Bombyx mori: one gene and its partner. The main gene of each other region encodes a partner of the protein of the gene in region 2 in a complex. Links are inferred from orthologs where the notes say so. Each region holds a gene or a part of one and is shown on either strand. Other genes may lie near its edges.

Evidence for each region. Proteins that work in one complex are often made in the same cells at the same time.
Region 1: eIF3i (region 2) and eukaryotic translation initiation factor 3 subunit L share a complex: the UniProt entries of both Drosophila melanogaster proteins name them as parts of the eukaryotic translation initiation factor 3 (eIF-3) complex. The link is inferred for Bombyx mori from reciprocal best matches to the Drosophila melanogaster genes eIF3i and eIF3l.

What each region holds. Positions count from the first base shown.
Region 1 is NC_085117.1:14,766,023-14,768,763, forward strand, and holds the end of eukaryotic translation initiation factor 3 subunit L, read right to left. Parts: coding exon 2,515-2,741; intron 2,418-2,514; coding exon 2,232-2,417; intron 1,507-2,231; coding exon 1,273-1,506; intron 775-1,272; coding exon 640-774; 3' UTR 592-639; downstream 1-591. UniProt on the Drosophila melanogaster protein: Component of the eukaryotic translation initiation factor 3 (eIF-3) complex, which is involved in protein synthesis of a specialized repertoire of mRNAs and, together with other initiation factors, stimulates binding of mRNA and methionyl-tRNAi to the 40S ribosome.
Region 2 is NC_085121.1:5,018,464-5,022,901, forward strand, and holds eIF3i (eukaryotic translation initiation factor 3 subunit I), read right to left. Parts: upstream 2,855-4,438; 5' UTR 2,779-2,854; coding exon 2,776-2,778; intron 2,651-2,775; coding exon 2,424-2,650; intron 2,314-2,423; coding exon 2,181-2,313; intron 1,489-2,180; coding exon 1,321-1,488; intron 1,188-1,320; coding exon 729-1,187; 3' UTR 528-728; downstream 1-527. Other genes in the region: serine/threonine protein phosphatase 6, read left to right, coding at 1-44. UniProt on the Drosophila melanogaster protein: Component of the eukaryotic translation initiation factor 3 (eIF-3) complex, which is involved in protein synthesis of a specialized repertoire of mRNAs and, together with other initiation factors, stimulates binding of mRNA and methionyl-tRNAi to the 40S ribosome.

The DNA.
Region 1 (2,741 bases), on a different chromosome or scaffold from region 2:
CCTCCCGATCCACTAACGGTGCTTTTAGGTATCTCAAGCACCGGTCATCGTTCTCGTCGAACCCGTCGCTTGCGACGAAGGGCTCGACGAGTAAATTAACCCTCAGACACAGCCCACTGAGTTTCTCGCCGGATCTTCTCAGTGGGTCGCGTTTCCGATCCGGTGGTAGATTCTGCGAAGCACGGCTCTTGCTAGGGTTCGTGCTAGCAACGTCGTCAGGTTCGAGCCCCGTGAGCTCACCTACTACCGTTAAGGTTACGCTGATAAAGCTTTTCAAGGCTCTCAGCTTAGGTAGGTAAAAAAAAAAAACATTTTTTATCATGAGTGATCATCACCTCTCACGTAATTTATTTGAAAGGTTGTGGGCCACCCCATTTTTTTATCTCACCAAGAGCCGATGGTGCGTTGTTAAGTCATTACTAGAACACAGACATCACAATTTGAAAGCCACTATCCTTATGATATTGAATTCCTAATTGTATTTTATTATGACTATCCTTTTAAACCGGACGTACGACTGCTTTGTAGTAGAAAATGACAAGACACCATAAGTAATTATGCAAATTTGTAATTTGTGAGTTTTTAAAGACATTTTAGTATAAATCATTTATTTGTAAATGTTTTGATACAATGGCCATTTTAAATTTTAATATGGTGTAGTTTTCTATTTAGTTCTTCAAACTTCAACAGCTTGCGGATGAAAAAGTCACCATAGCGATGAGCCACTTTCGTATCTGCGATATGAATCATATCGTTGTCGATGTAGAAATCCAACTGAAAAAGAAAAGTAGTATTGAATTATTATTTTATTTCTTTGCTTAAATGTGTGGACGAGCTCACGGCCCACCTGGTGTTAAGTAGTTAACTGAAGCCCATAGACATCTATGCAGTAAATGCCGCCACCCGCCTTGAGATATTATTTCTAAGGTCTCAGTATATTACAACTTTTGCACCACCCTTCAAACAAACTCATTACAGCTTCAGGGCAGATATAGGCAAGGTGGTGGTACCAAGACGTCCTACCACCAGTAATTACGCAAACTATAATTTTGCAGGTTTGATTTTTATTACACTTCCTTCACCGTGGAAGTTAATCGTGAACGTTTGTTAAATATGTATTTCATTAGAAAAATTGCTACATGCCTGCGGGATTCGTATATCGTTGCATCGCTAGATACGAACGCACTGGACGTCTTATCCTTTAGGTCACGACGACTTGAATTCCAGCTTAAGATAAATAATAATTATAGGCAGTATAACAGGTTTGTTTACCTCAGAACCACTTTGGAATTTTCCATCAAGACCACTGGGGCCTTTAGTCCAAACTACGTTCTTCATTTTGTGCTTGAAGCAGAGCAAGTGAATGGCGAGAGCCGCATGTTCACGTGCCGCGTCACGCTCACTGCCGCGAGCAGCAGACATGAATGCAGCTAGTTTCGCCATCGGGAGGGTGGTGTATAGTTTCAAATAGGAACGTATGGTCGGAAGCATTTTTTGTTGACGGACCTACAATATAATAAGTGAAGGTTACTCGTTAGAGATATGAGAAAAAGAGACTCTAAGTTGGCTAAAGTTAAAGTATCAATATGAACAGTCCGCATTGTCGTCGTCGCTGTCGTCGCCGAACATACTGTGGAAAAGAGGAACCCGGTCGGCGGTGTATGGCGTTCTGACCCGGCAGGCTGGTTCTGTCCCAGCGGATCCCGGAACACCAGTGGCATCGCCCGGGCGGCCTAGTAGCGCCGCCGTACCGCGGAGACCGGCGTCGTTGGTTGTCGACTAACGCCTCGACGACCCGTTGGTCGGGCGTCCTTGGGGTGGCGCCGCGTGTCTAGTTGTATTGTTGACCGTGGGAACCCCCTACTCTGACCCCGGATGGAGATCGGACGTCGGGTGTAACAGTGAGTGCAGGGCAGTCGTTTAGTGCGGTAGGGCCCTAAAATTCCTTGGGCCCGCGGTCTGCTCCCAACACCTGCAGACCGTCAAGTCCCACATACCTCGCGCGCCCCCTAGGCGTGGGGACCTCGTAGGTTAGGCCCCAGGACCGAAAAAAAAAAATCAACATGAGATGAAACCATAGTTGGGTATCGTTCAACCAGGTTTAATTAAGCTTGACTCTCATCCTATGAATAGAGATTGTTGGAGTCAAATGAAGAAGAGGTATAATAAACCAAACTAGTCTTGTTTAAATTGATAGATAGATAATGTCACAATACTATCACTAATATTACCTCGTCCATAAAGACTTGGGTCTGGTGTTTGACAGCATCACGGCCATAGTTGGCACCGGGTTCAATGGGCGGGGGACACGCCGATAAGAATTTGGGGCACGCGAAAGTAAAGCAGCTCTCGAATTCACCTAGGTCTCCATATTGCATTTTAAACATCTTCTCATGGTAGTTCTTTTCTCGAAGCACCTGGATATAGAATTTGTATTTGTATGAATATAATATAATTAGTACATACACTATATTTTAAGTCATCTAGATAAAGCTGGTATGATAGGTTACTAACCTGCTGGATGGATTCATCAACGCACTGCGGATGCAAGACCAAACAAATGGCCAGTAAATGGTACATTTGCTCGGTCTGTTTGTTGATCTGATCATTCTGGTAGGAACGGGAGGAGAACAATTGTTTAGTGCGTTGCATGTATAGCAGCGCAGAAGAGAGGGTGCGGATGGCGTCGGCGTACCGACGCATCATCATGTACGCGAATCCGACATAGTATGACGTGGAGA
Region 2 (4,438 bases):
AACGAGAAGTTCCTCCACAGCATACTACTCCATATTTCCTTTGAGCTGAGATTATGTGATCAAAGTATTCCATAAGTGTAAAGTTTTGTATTAATAAATGTTGCATCTATTACAATTTTTTTGTTTATTGACCCACTTTTATGTTCTTTATTATGAGATCTGTTCTTTTTGACATATTACTATAATTTTTTTAAATCTTCATTATTTATACCTTCGTTTTTTATATTTATATATTTAATTTTACCTTTTATTATTAAATATGTACCATCATGAAATAGTCTGTTGAAAATGAATAATGGGATTAACAGAATATATTACAAACTAGCTTTCTGCTGCATTACATATCACATGGGTGGAAGAGATCCATGCTCAGCAGTGGAATGAAAGGCATCCCAGTTTTTTAAAGGTTAAACTATTTCCATACAATGTTTCAATATATATGCAGTGAAAATCCTTTCAATAGATTCAGAAATATGTGACAAATGTGGGTGAACAGACAAATGGTGACCAATTCTAAAAATGTCCAGTTTATGTTCTATTACTGTTCTTTAATTATTATTTTTCTACTTATATAAAATTTCCTAAATGTATAGACGTACTGAATTAATTGTTTTATTATATATGTAGATTGATAAAGTGGCATGCATTTAAATAAATGATATACAAAAAACTTTAATGAGGCTTTATTTTCTTATAATTTTATGAAACACTAGAGTATTGCAAATTAACTACTCCCTATTGTAATCGAAAGTGTAGTCAAAGTAAGATTGATCAAAGTTATGAACACGAACATAACCATCTTCACCTCCGGAAGCATAGGACTTTCCATCTGGATGGAAAGCCAAACTGTTGATAGGACCAAAGTGACCTTTCACTCGGCCAAACTCCTCTTCAAATACTAAGTGGAAGAAACGAGCATCGAATTTACCCTGTCTGGTTGATGTGGTTGTCACTTCCATAGCATCTTGACCACCACCAAGTACAACATGATCAAGGATTGGACTGAGAGCAGCAGAATTTACAGGTCTCTCTGTCTTGTATTCTTTAAGAAGTTCTAATGAGTTAGTGTCAAATAACTTAGCAGTATGATCCTTGGAAGCAGTTACAAACATTGTGCCGTCACGAGAAAGTTGCATATCGGTGATTTGGTGGGTATGCTCTTTAACAGAGTGGATTTTTTTACCAGTCTGAAAAATAATTAGATATCATTAGCACTATTTAAAAATAAACAGAATAATTTCTATGAAAGATAATTTTTTTGCATGGAGAAAGTAGATAATATTTGAATTTACTTAGTCTATTGAATAATTATTTGCATACCCTCAGATCCCATTGTATAAGGTCACCAGCTTCATGACCAGTGATAATTGTCTCATCTAAAGAACCCCAAATCATTGAAGTAACCTTTGAATCTGTGATTTCCCATTTTAAAATAGGAGCTTGACCTGACACTGTTTCATCAATTGTTCTTGTATCAATAACGAACACCTGTAAATTGACATAATACTTTATATCTTAATTGTTATCACAGGATATACAAAATTATAATACTAGTTAGTAAAAACTTACTGTATATGTATATAGGAAACACATTAAGGGTTAAAATAGAGATTCCCAAGAGTTGATATTGTCTACCTAAGCACACTATAATTTAACCGACTCCAAAGTTTCAGTTCAGTTTGAAAAAGGGTATTTCCTGCTCAAAATATTTTGTGATTTAAGTTAAAGGGTATTAAATTTACAAGTGAGCCTTTCGGTAATAATAAATTTTAAATGTCTGGAGCATAATAAAAAAAAACAAAGTGAAATGTCAGCATAAATGACACTTGTACTGTCAACAAATCTTAGTTTAAAGAAATACAAGGTATGTAGGAATTACTCTTGAATACTAAGTTGTAATCATTAATTGACGGATATGTTAAAGAACAAAAAATAAGATTTTTTTTAAGGCATGGCCCTCAATAAACCACTTTGAAGTGAAGCAGACAAGTTCACATTGTGGTTTAATAGAGAATGAAAGTTCTGAAACGGAAACAACTATAATAATATTTATGCTTAGCTTTGCATACAATTTTACTTTTCTTCTAATGTTAAAGTTGCCAGTCATAATATCCATTAGTCTTTCTCATCCTCAATTCATGTTTCTCTATTTAAATAAAATGTATATACTATGTAATTACCTCACAAGGGTGTCCCATAGCTTTGTCAGTGGTATAAGCAGCTTGATATGCACTATAGCTGAAGTTGCATGTTCTTACAGAAGAGTTGGATTTGAGTGTTGCAATATTCTTGCCTGTCTCCAGATCCCATAACCTGTGCATCGTTTAGTGTTATCAACAGCCTACTCATCTTTGAGCAAACAACATGAAAAAAGAATGCAATTTTCAACACTTTATTTGTTTATAATATACTGAGGATAATACCTGCAGGAACTGTCGCCACCACCTGTGATGAGATTAATTGACTGCCAGTCGACGTCAAGGCACCATATTACACCACCGTGGCCGTTGAAAGTGCCAAGACGTTCGCCGTTCAGTGACCACCAAACATTTGGTTTTGAATCTTTAGCGGCGGAGAAGAGCAAGTCACCCTCGCGGTTATATTTGATCTGTGTGATGGCACGCTGGTGCCCTTGCAGCATAAGAGGTTTCTGGAATTACATGAGTAAGTAATTTACCTAATTTATAGTCATAGCTATGTTTGTGATTGAATTTGTTTGATATTTCACACAATAACTTTGGAGGCATTAAAATTTTGTATAAGAGTGTTATTTACCATGTTTAGAAAGTATTTTATTTAATAGTTTATTATAAATCACAATAAAAACGATGTGGTGACATGTGGCAGGCGGCGGACCTTTTGACAGAAGATTTTTTTTTCTTAATTTTTATTTAGCCTTCGCTTGGCGCATAGTTGAGCTCTATAGCCTATGGTAAATTTTTATAGGATGTTATGACCTGGTAACTAAGACCTTTAGGTCATGTCTTATTTTAATTTATATTCTTATTTTTATGAAAAATGATAATATGGAGTGAAATGAAATGAAATTAAATTAAATGAGATGAGATGATATGGGATGAAATATAATCTCAGTAAAATGGTGTCATTTACTAAGATTTTTTCAGTGGACTTTTTGGAGGATCCCGTATTGCTACGTCTAGCGGCTTTGTTTCATTTTCCCACATTTGTGCACTTTCGCAGATATTAAACAGTTAATAAACCACCGTTATTACACACTGAAACCTGAAGAAACACTAAATAGAGAAAATAAAACCAATCACACAACTTCACTCCTCGCGTTCCCGCCAAAAAGTCCATACATTTAATTTAGTTACAATCATAGATTATACACTTAATATTTGAGAATTACAATAAAATTCTGGTCGTACGTGCACGTGTTGTACATCAAAAATTCTTCGCTCTGAATCTAGTTTTTATTGAAGCTAGCACCTCTTTTTTTTCTCTTTTCTTTTTTCCTACCTATGGTATATCCTTGCTATAGCCTTGAAAAGCTATTTCAGCTTCATCCTAACATATAGGTGAGCTCACGGGGATCAAACCGGAAGTGTTGCTAACACTGGCCCTAGCAAGAGCAGTGCTTCGCAGAATCTACCACCGGATCGGAAACGCAACCCACTGAGAAGCTCCGACGAGAAACTCAGTGGGCTGTGTCTATGGGCTAATTCACTCGTCGAGCCCATCGTCGCAAGCGACGGGTTCAACGAGGATGGTGACCGGTTCTAGCACCAAAATACAGTCCACGCTCTAAAAATAATGCACCCACAGTCCAAAGTTAGGTTTGAAATATGTCCACTTGCAAGATTTCTTGAAATGTTCGCTAGTACAATTCGGGTTGATCGATACTGTGATCTCCAAACATTCTCAAAGCTAACCCCGATGTTTCCAGGAAATAACTGATTTTTCGTTTGACGCTATAAAAGACGGATAAAAAATAAAACATTTTCAACAATATTTGACATACATTTTATTTTCTTAAATTAATAACCATTGATTTCCAAGAGTACAACTAAAAAACAAATTAAAGTACAAACACGTTATGCGTTGCTAACTAAACACAACTGTAGGTAACTTCTCTTGGCAAACCAGTACACTGTTTTTGACTAACATCCGGCGCACCACTCGAACGAGACAAACGAGAGACAAAACTCACAATCAATAGTCACTACGCACTTAACTTGGTCGTATAACAAACAGCCTTTATTAATCCATCGAGAATAGTACAGCAATCAGCAACTAATGTGATTTGCTACGTACAAACATAGAACCTTATGGTATTCATAATACTTAAAATTATTTCTACGTTCTGAAAGCAATAAGTCTTGAAATTGAGCGAGCTCAACCAAACATGTGAAATACAGCACACTCTCTACCACATTGAATTCTCGTGCAAAACAATATTTGATACGTTTCTAGTTAT